Linked DNA regions of Kluyveromyces lactis. The protein of the gene in region 2 interacts with the protein of the main gene of each other region in a pairwise test. Links are inferred from orthologs where the notes say so. Each region holds a gene or a part of one and is shown on either strand. Other genes may lie near its edges. The genes, in order: RPT3, RAD23 and PTH2.

Region 1 (3,280 bases), on a different chromosome or scaffold from region 2:
ATATCCTACTTCTCAGGTGAAGAATTCCCTGTTCATATTTGGTGGAAGACATATTCTCCTCCGACGTGGATGTATTCCAATCCTGATCTGACGGTTTCTACCACGAACTTTAAGGAAAATGTAGAGTTTGTCGATAATATACCTTGGCATGTTGTATCAAATCATGTTGTTGATTTAAAAGGTAGTGACATTGAGTTACTAAATAAAACTCTTACAAAATTTTCGGAGAACACAGACTCAATTCAGCTAATCATGCCAAATACTGTTCTCGATAAATTGACCCCCCTTCAGTCGCAATGGAAGTTCATCACAGAATGGGAGACGCAGCAGCATCTCGATTTAGATCACATTGATATGCCAGACTGGACTACCATAAAGCCAGGATTAAGGCTATACAACGTAAGTCTAATAGTTTGAAATATTACTGGCTTATTTTCTATTAGGAATACTTTCCAATATACACTGCATTTACCGATATGTATTGAGTCAAACACAATTAAATTAAATTATTTATAGAAGTCGAATTTATCAACATCGCTACCTGACTTGACTTGTGAAGCATACGCTTCCTCCAAATCGCTTTGTAGGATGACGTATCTGTTCTTTCTGACAGCTCTTAGACCAGCTTCTTGCATAATGGCGGCAATCAAAGCACCAGATAAAGGATCATTTCTGATGATCAAAGAATCTAAATCTGCTTCAGGAGCTAAAGACATCTTTGCAGCTATAGTACCAAAAATTAAACGACGTTCACGCCTGTCCCTTAATGAAGGGAATTCGATCTTTCTGTCTAATCTACCAGGTCTTAACAAAGCTGGATCTAGAGTATCAGCACGATTGGTTGCCATTATAACTTTAACATTTGTTGACTGATCAAAACCATCCATTTGAGTAAGTAACTCAATCAATATACGTTGGACTTCACGATCAGACCCTGTCTGAGCATCGAAACGTTTTGTAGCGATGGAATCCACTTCATCGATGAAAATAATTGATGGTGAGTTTTCTCTTGCCAATCTGAAAACATCTCTAACCATTCTTGGCCCTTCACCTAAGTATTTATGCACAAACTCTGACCCGTTCACTCTGATGAATGCGGCTTCTGTCGCGTTTGCCACGGCCTTAACTAACATAGTTTTGCCAGTACCAGGAGGACCATAAAGTAAAACCCCTCTTGGTGGGTCAATACCAATCTGTTGATACAAATCCGCCTGTACCAAGGGTAGTTCAACAGCTTCTCTTATTTCTTGCTTCTGCATGTCTAACCCACCAACATCGGCATAGGTGACATCTGGCTTTTCATTTGCGGCCATGATTGATATGCTAGAATCTGAATCAGGTGGTAAAATATCCACAAGGGCATTAGAGTGACGATGTAATGCAACTGAAGTTGATGGTTTTAACAGTTCCCTATCTAGAGTCGATAGAATCCTTACGACATAACTCATACCTGTGGTCGAGGAGACGATACCGGTGTTTTCGTCAATCGGTTCCAAAAATTGACCAATGACAAGTGGCACAGATTGGATTCTTTTCACTTCCTCTTGGGCTCTGAGTAATTCCCTCTTCAAATGGCGCTGTTCATCTTTGATATAATCTTCTTGTAATGTCAATAATTCATATTCTTTCTCCAGCTTCTTTAGTTTCAAGTAGACATCTGAATTACCATTCGCCACGGCAAATGAATCATTATTTAGCTGAGCAAGTAGGGAACCATATGATAGACCATTATTCTTTGCACCAAATTCTACACTAAGAACAGGTTGAGGAGTACTAATACCTAGTTCTTCCATAATGTTTTGATCTTAATTCGTCTTTCCCGTAGTGTGTAAATATTCTAACTCCCTTTAGACTATGATCAAATAAAGACGAAAGTATCCGAAAACACAGAAAAGTTCCAATAATATACTGCAATTCCAATAAACTAAGGGGTCAGTCTTACTACTTACACGGATATATGTGTTTGTACCTACATATATTTATAAACGTATCCCCTTCCACACTAAAGTGGTTATGTCAAATCGTTCAGTTTAATAATTGCATTATTTCATTAAAAAGTTAAATCTCATTTTGGGTATTTTGCCACCCATTTTGCAGTCACGTGATCTCGGTTCTTAGACAACTTTTTCGAAGGGCCTACACTGTTTAGAATGTTAACATGATAGGCTACCCACTACGTATATCAATGCACCTGTGTATACTCAAATGCAGTGTCCTAATAGTATACCTAATGATAAAAGTAGTGTGGAGTACGAGTAGAAACAACTCTTGGTGAAAGTGACGGTTGTCTCCGGTAAAAGAGTTACCAACTTATTATAGTATATTGTCCACTGTAAAGAACACCATATCTTAAAGTCAGCAACTATATTTGAAAATGTGAGGATTTTGGGAACTTCCTCCTGATGGGGTTTTGTTTGAGTTTCTTGAAGTTTTTTATCCATCAAATTGTCTATGGTATTTGACATTTCTGAAATTGCCAAGTTTTGTTCCTTTTGATGATCATCAAGCGCCATTTTTACCTTATCTTCGAAAGAACCGACTAACCTCCTTCTCTTCCAAGGTTCTAGCAGTAATTGAAATATTACGAAGAAGAGTATATTTACTCCCATCAAAATAAATGTACCCCATGTCGAAGTTCTTCTGATCTTATCTGACCAGATTTGTTCTTCGTGATACCTTGTAAGAATGGCTCGGTACAAATTCGTTGAAAGTTCCTCCTCCTTAGCCTCAAGTTCTGCGAGTTTTACCTTAGATTGTTCTTCCGTTTGAGAGTTCAATGCGTCATCTCTGTATAGTTGGGTAAATCTATCAAGGTCAGTAGGAGACCACGAATTTTTTCTTTGCAACAATTCATTAACTTCCTTTTGCGATCCCGATCTTGCTTTTATAGCTGTCTCGTACTTTTCCTTTGCTTCATTGACAAGTTTTTTAGTGTCCTTCAGCTCTTCTTCCAATGAGGAAATTGTATTTCTTAACTTCTGAATACTGGAATATCCTGTTACGTCATTCAAAGCTCTGGTGGCTGTGAATATGGTCTCTTGCAATGAATCTAAATACAGTTCCATTTTGCGAGCCCATTTTTTACGATGTCGTTCTCTTTCGCTAGGTAGGTCCTTGATCTTACCTTCAGCGTTATAGTTCAATTTTGAATCGTTACTGTCATTTTCCATCTGAGACAATCTCTCGTTCGCATCCTTTAAAGATTTTTGAGCTTTGTCCCATTGTGTTTTGAAATTCACTGAGTATTCCCGAAGTTTATTAGCTGTCTCGTTTGCCTTAT
Region 2 (3,137 bases):
TTTATTAGCGACAATGACAAGGAGTTAGACGCAGCTTTGGATGTAGGCATCAGCACCATCTTGGCATTGAGGCCTGGAAACAACCCGGTATCTAATGCAGAAAAATATAAAGCGCTTAATAACTTCTCATCTATATAAGACATGTCTAAGGTACACTGGTTCTCTGAATTGGGACTAAGGATATAGTGTAATGATGAATAAATTTAAAAAAATTAATGAAGGGGATATCTGATTGATTGTAACACAAATCCTACTTGAAGTTGGAAGTAAGAGATCGAACATACCACGCTCCGTCTGTTGCAGATTGACTAAGGTTGGTTAAGTATAACTGCTCATTATGAGTGCGTATGTGTGCAAAAATTGGAAGATGAATATGTGGGATGCCTTCGCTGTAGTAGGAAAATCTGACGGTATAGAGGTCATACTTGGATTGGCAAACACTACATGCTGGAGATATGAGTACGCATATTCCATATTATTAAACAAATTTGGTAGAGATAATTATTTTTGTTTTCTATTTTGAACATATTCTTCTTTCCCTACATGCCTAAAGAGACGATGGTTTATTGAAAAATCATACTACATTCAATCAGCGTAATTGTTGAATAGCATGTTGGCAGCAATTTCTTCGTTTTTGTCACATGCGAAGTAGATTTGCACCACCAAGGTCCTCTCAAAACCCAACTCGCAAAGTCTATTGATAGCTTCTTCATCTTCTGCTGAGATAGTAACATTGGGAGGCGCGCCTTGAGTTTGTCCCCCGAAATCACCTAGATCACCTTCTGCTATGTCATCTCCCAGATTTTCACCCAAAGAATCGGTTAGGGAACCGCCAACAGCTTCTAATAGCAAAGAGATAAACCTTTGTGGATCTTGCAGCATGGTCTCACGGAGATGTGGGTAACGCGTGCTTAGACTCTCGAAAAGTGGCATTAAAGCCTCTGGACGCCCAGATACAACGTCACGAAGTTGTGTAATGTCCTCCATAGTCAATCCGATTGTGCCCATTTCTTCTCCACCTAAACCAGCAGCGGATTCATGACCTTGCTCGCCATTATTGGCTTCTGCTTGTGCAAATAAATTGTCTTCATGTTCAGTGAATTGTGATGGCACGTCTGTTGCAACTTCAGAATTAGCATTCGCCCCAGCTTCACTAGTTACAGCTTCAGCTTGTTGCTGCGATGGCTCACTGGCTTCAGGAATACCCATAAGCAAATACTCCACTGCACGGTCAGGGTTGTTGAATGCTGCTCTAAGCGCACGTTCTACTTGTTCACGATCATAACCCATTTCCATGATTCTGTTCACAGTCTCGTTACGTTGAGAACCAGTGACAAACGAAGCATCAGTCGTCCCTTCTTCTTGTGTAACTGCAGTAGTACCTGTTCTTGTACCAGTGGTTGTAGCTTCCGCAGGTGCATTTGCAACTGCAGAAGTTTCTGCAGAAGCAGTGGCTTGAGATTCATCTTGGGGTTCAGTTGTGGATTCAGTTACCTTAACATCAGCCTTTTTCTTAGTTTTGCTAATCATGAATATAACCTGATCCCCTTCCTTAAGATTGCATCCTGATACGGTCTTAGGATCCTGGAGTATCTTACCTGCGTAGATCAACTTTATTTGAGATGCATCGCACTGTTTTTGTTCAGCGATCAATTCCTTGGCGTGTGAAATGGTGGCATCATCCGCCAATTCAATAGGTAGTTTTTCCTTTTTGAAATCTTTAAAATTAATAAGCATTATGCTTGTGATTTTCTTGGACTTTGTCTCAACGGTTGTTTTCTTGACTTTATCTTCTTTGCCACCCAGCCATCAGATTCAAGTTGATTTGGCATTAATTTCAATTTCTTTCACTGTTCTCAACTTTCATTTTCGATGTTGACAAAAAAAAAAACTGAAGGTATCTGACAAGATGCAGAACTCCGGAATACGCTGAAAATTACAGCTTAATGCAGCTTGATAACGTGTTTTCAGTATTTGCTTGCCTGTAATAGTTACCAGTAGTAATATGGTTTGAAGTAAACAAAATGAACAGATTATTGCAAGTACAATATTAGTATATAATGCATTTAAACGTAAATGTAAAAAAAAGTCTATTGATAAAAACCTCGATAATGATCTAAGGTGCATATTGTACAACTAGATACTCCAACGTGTTACAGTCTGCCTAATAATTGAATAATAATAGGGGATGGAAGCGATGAGAATTGAAATTAGATGGTTAAGATATCTTTTTAAAAAATATCTCGTTAGTGAAGAATGTATTTGTGGGTTTTATAATCTTCTTTACTCTTCACTGCCTAAACAGAAAATTATTAATGAGCAGGATCAAAGTCCAGTGGTACTTCATGTGAATCTTGATTATTTCCTCCGTTCCTTGAACCATCATCTGCTTCATCATCATCTGACCAGTCCACTTGAATCTTCCTATCTAGGACATTCGGATCAATGTTCTTCAAAATTTGTAACCTTTCTAGCTCCCACTCATCTCTCACGTCATCGAAACCAATATCCCAAATTCTAGCATAGAACTCTTGAATTTTTTGCTCTTCAACCCGACGTTTCTCTTCCTCGGCCATCCAGGCCATGTGTTTCAAATCGTCACTTGAAGGTTCGTAAATGTGCCAGATCACATAATGAGGTAGACCGACAACACTGTATTGCATTCTACGTGATAATTTACCAAAGGCTTCAGTTTCAGCATGTTTCTCGAAAGAGAACGCAGGGAAATGAGAACCTGTTCTAAAGACCTTAGCTTTAGATAAGATGGAAACACCACCAATTCCGTCTAGTTCCATCTCGACCTCGGGATCGCCGCTTGGGTCTCTCATGTAGGCCAAATGTGTTCTCCATGTAGCGTATTCCGGGTACCCTTCTACGATACAAGCATCTTCATCCAAAGAATCAGCTAATTGTAATCCACCCTCAGATTCAACCCATGAGTTCAAATCATATGGTTGTATATTTCCCAACCAATCGGGTAGAGGTCTCCAGACGTTTGGAACAATGACGTCTTTATCATGATGCATTAAATCTTCCAAAATAGTATTCGGTATAGTTTGAACGTCGACATCTCTCCAGTACACGTAAGAATGATACGGCTTCAAAGCCGCTGACCCAAGCCAATTTCTAGCTCTGGC
Region 3 (2,711 bases), about 190 kb from region 2:
GGTCGATGTCACGGTCTATAAAAAGTTGGAAGAGCCTTACGTTCCACCTAAGAGAAAAGTGAGTGGCTTCCAAGGAACAGGTAAGAGATTGGGCTCACCCATTCCTGGTGATGCAGTAAACTCTCAATCAGCATCGCCTGCCGAATCTACTCCAGTAGGGACTGAAATCAAAGAAAAATCGCCAGATGACGAGCTAAAGGGAGACACTAGTGTACAGATCAGATATGCTTCTGGGAAGAGGGAGGTGTTACGTTGTAACTCTACAGATACCATCAGATTCTTGTACCAGCATGTTAAAGCTAACACAGCAGAAATGCGCCCATTTACACTAAGCCATGCATTTCCCGTAAAACCCATTGACGAATTTGACTCCACTTTGAAAGATCAAGACCTATGCAATGCAGTGGTGGTCCAAAGATGGGTATAAATCTTAAATATAGTATAATTTTACAAAGATTATTACATATGTACAAGTTTAAATATACGGAGACAACCTAAATCCTTATATTTTCAGGATAGAGTTGTTTATGCAGTCGATGATTATTCCAACGATTTGAGAGATCGAAGTATCAGTAAAGCTTGAGATCACCAGTAATTTGGTCAAGGACTGCTTTCGGAGCAGGTCCCAAACCTAAAACAGTAGCACTTCCCGCTGCAATTTGTGTTCTACCAGCATCATGAACAACGTATGAGTTAACTCCTAATGCAATAGCCTTAGCGAAGAGCTCATCCATTGTTTCCTTATCTGGACATTTTAAAGTAATCTTTGCTTGACCTCTTGCCAACCATCTGTGAGTCATCTCCGGATTATATGAAGTTCTACTTGGATCACACGCAATAAGCCTAAAACAGGCTAATGCAGCATGACAACATTGAGCAGCGATTTTCCCTTTAGTCATTCCCAAATCTTGCCTGATAACCAAGGCCATCCTTACTTCACCAGGAATGTCATTTAGGCATATGGAATCTACTGCAATGCCATCTTCATCTTCATCTTCATCCTCAGATTCGTCTTCATCCTCGTCCTCATCACCATCGTCATGTTCACTGGCATACGCTTGCTCATCTCGCTCAGCCTTAATCTTCGCTTGTTTCAACAATTCTTGTATCTCATCCTTCCTTGATGGTGTTATCTGTCCAAGATAATATCCAGTTGTCAGAGATAATGCTGACAGCGTGAACAACACTGCTAAATTCAACGATGATGGTGCCATCTGGATAGCAGTTATGGTTTGATGTAGCTGTAGTGATAGTGTCAGTTTCCTCTGCTTTAATATGCTCTGCCAGTGATCTCCTTGTCATCACTTGGAATATATCGGTTTAATGTAAAATTTTCCTAAAGAAAAGATTATATGCAACTGCTGGATAGAAACGTATGAAGTAGGACGTCTGCTGGTACTTTAGACCACCAGATTCCTACTCCTACCTTTCGTATATTTATCCAGTGGCATTAATCCATTCATATGTGCATCCATGGTACACTTAAAGCTACCTTTTTACAATTCTATAACAAGTCTAATGTGAATACACGATAGAATACATACTGTGAACGAAACGGGAAAGGTTCAGGTTCAACTATTAGTGGATATGACATATACAGCGCTAGTCTTGAGTGCCAACTTTCTCAGCCCAAATTTGCTCTGCTTGTAGAATAGTATTGTGGTTAGCTTTCATTTTGTTCATTGTTTCTACGTACTCATCATATGGGTCAGAATCAAATATGATACCACCACCAGCTTGCAAATAGGCTATACCGTCTTTATAAACCATTGTTCTCAAGGCAATGCATGTGTCCATGGATTTTCCGTCATATGACCAGTGTCCAACGGCACCAGCGTAAACACCCCGTTTTTCACCTTCCAGTTCTCCGATCAATTCCATGGCCTTGACCTTAGGAGCACCAGAAACTGTTCCTGCAGGGAAAATAGACCTTAGAGCATCAAATCTGTTTTGATCCTTCCTTAGTGTACCACTGACTTGAGAGACAAGATGTTGGACGTGAGAGAACTTTTGCACTGAAAGTAACTCATCCACGGAAGTGGTGGTTGGATCACAGACCCTGTTCACATCATTACGGGCTAGATCAACTAACATCACATGTTCTGCTCTGTCCTTAGTAGAATTTCTCAACTCTTCCGCTAATCTGTCATCTTCTTCTGGAGTCTGACCCCTTCTGACTGTACCAGCAATGGGATGAGTGATAACTTCGTTTTTGGCATCAACTTGGCATAACAATTCAGGTGAAGCACCAATGATTTGGAAATCCAAATAATCGATATAGAATAAGTATGGCGAGGGATTCACAGTACGCAAGTGTTTGTAGATATTGAATGGGTGAAGTGAAGTTGGTCTAGCGACACGTTGAGATGGAACACATTGGATGATATCACCCTTCTTGATATGTTCTTTCAAATCTCTCACGTGCTGTTCGTATCCTTCTTGACCAATGTTTGATGTGAAAGTCTGGTTCAATTTGATTGATGGTTGTTCAGGTAATGGTATCGGACTAGATTCATCCTTCAAGATGGCGATAATGCGTTTGATAATCTCAGATGCATCTTCGTAACCTTGTTCCAAAGATGAGACCGTCTTCACATTGATATTAGTTATGATCTGGAACCTTTGGAAAACATGATCAAATGCAACAATGGTATCGTATAGCATCAAAGCAGATTCTGGTACTTGTAGCACATCTTTCAATGGTCTCTTCG

What was found.
Region 1: the proteins of RAD23 (region 2) and RPT3 interact in binary tests that used the Saccharomyces cerevisiae proteins (3 or more experiments, as listed by UniProt). The link is inferred for Kluyveromyces lactis from reciprocal best matches to the Saccharomyces cerevisiae genes RAD23 and RPT3.
Region 3: the proteins of RAD23 (region 2) and PTH2 interact in binary tests that used the Saccharomyces cerevisiae proteins (3 or more experiments, as listed by UniProt). The link is inferred for Kluyveromyces lactis from reciprocal best matches to the Saccharomyces cerevisiae genes RAD23 and PTH2.

Annotation. Positions count from the first base shown.
Region 1 is NC_006039.1:570,732-574,011, reverse strand, and holds RPT3 (proteasome regulatory particle base subunit RPT3), read right to left. Parts: upstream 1,794-3,280; coding exon 507-1,793; downstream 1-506. Other genes in the region: SMP3 (glycosylphosphatidylinositol-alpha 1,2 mannosyltransferase), read left to right, coding at 1-417; SHE9 (She9p), read right to left, coding at 2,202-3,280. UniProt on the Saccharomyces cerevisiae protein: The 26S proteasome is involved in the ATP-dependent degradation of ubiquitinated proteins. The regulatory (or ATPase) complex confers ATP dependency and substrate specificity to the 26S complex.
Region 2 is NC_006041.1:1,974,050-1,977,186, forward strand, and holds RAD23 (Rad23p), read right to left. Parts: upstream 1,738-3,137; coding exon 586-1,737; downstream 1-585. Other genes in the region: putative acireductone synthase UTR4, read left to right, coding at 1-138; ANP1 (Anp1p), read right to left, coding at 2,313-3,137. UniProt on the Saccharomyces cerevisiae protein: Plays a central role both in proteasomal degradation of misfolded proteins and DNA repair.
Region 3 is NC_006041.1:1,781,767-1,784,477, reverse strand, and holds PTH2 (aminoacyl-tRNA hydrolase), read right to left. Parts: upstream 1,215-2,711; coding exon 570-1,214; downstream 1-569. Other genes in the region: protein phosphatase regulator SHP1, read left to right, coding at 1-427; anthranilate synthase TRP2, read right to left, coding at 1,603-2,711. UniProt on the Saccharomyces cerevisiae protein: The natural substrate for this enzyme may be peptidyl-tRNAs which drop off the ribosome during protein synthesis.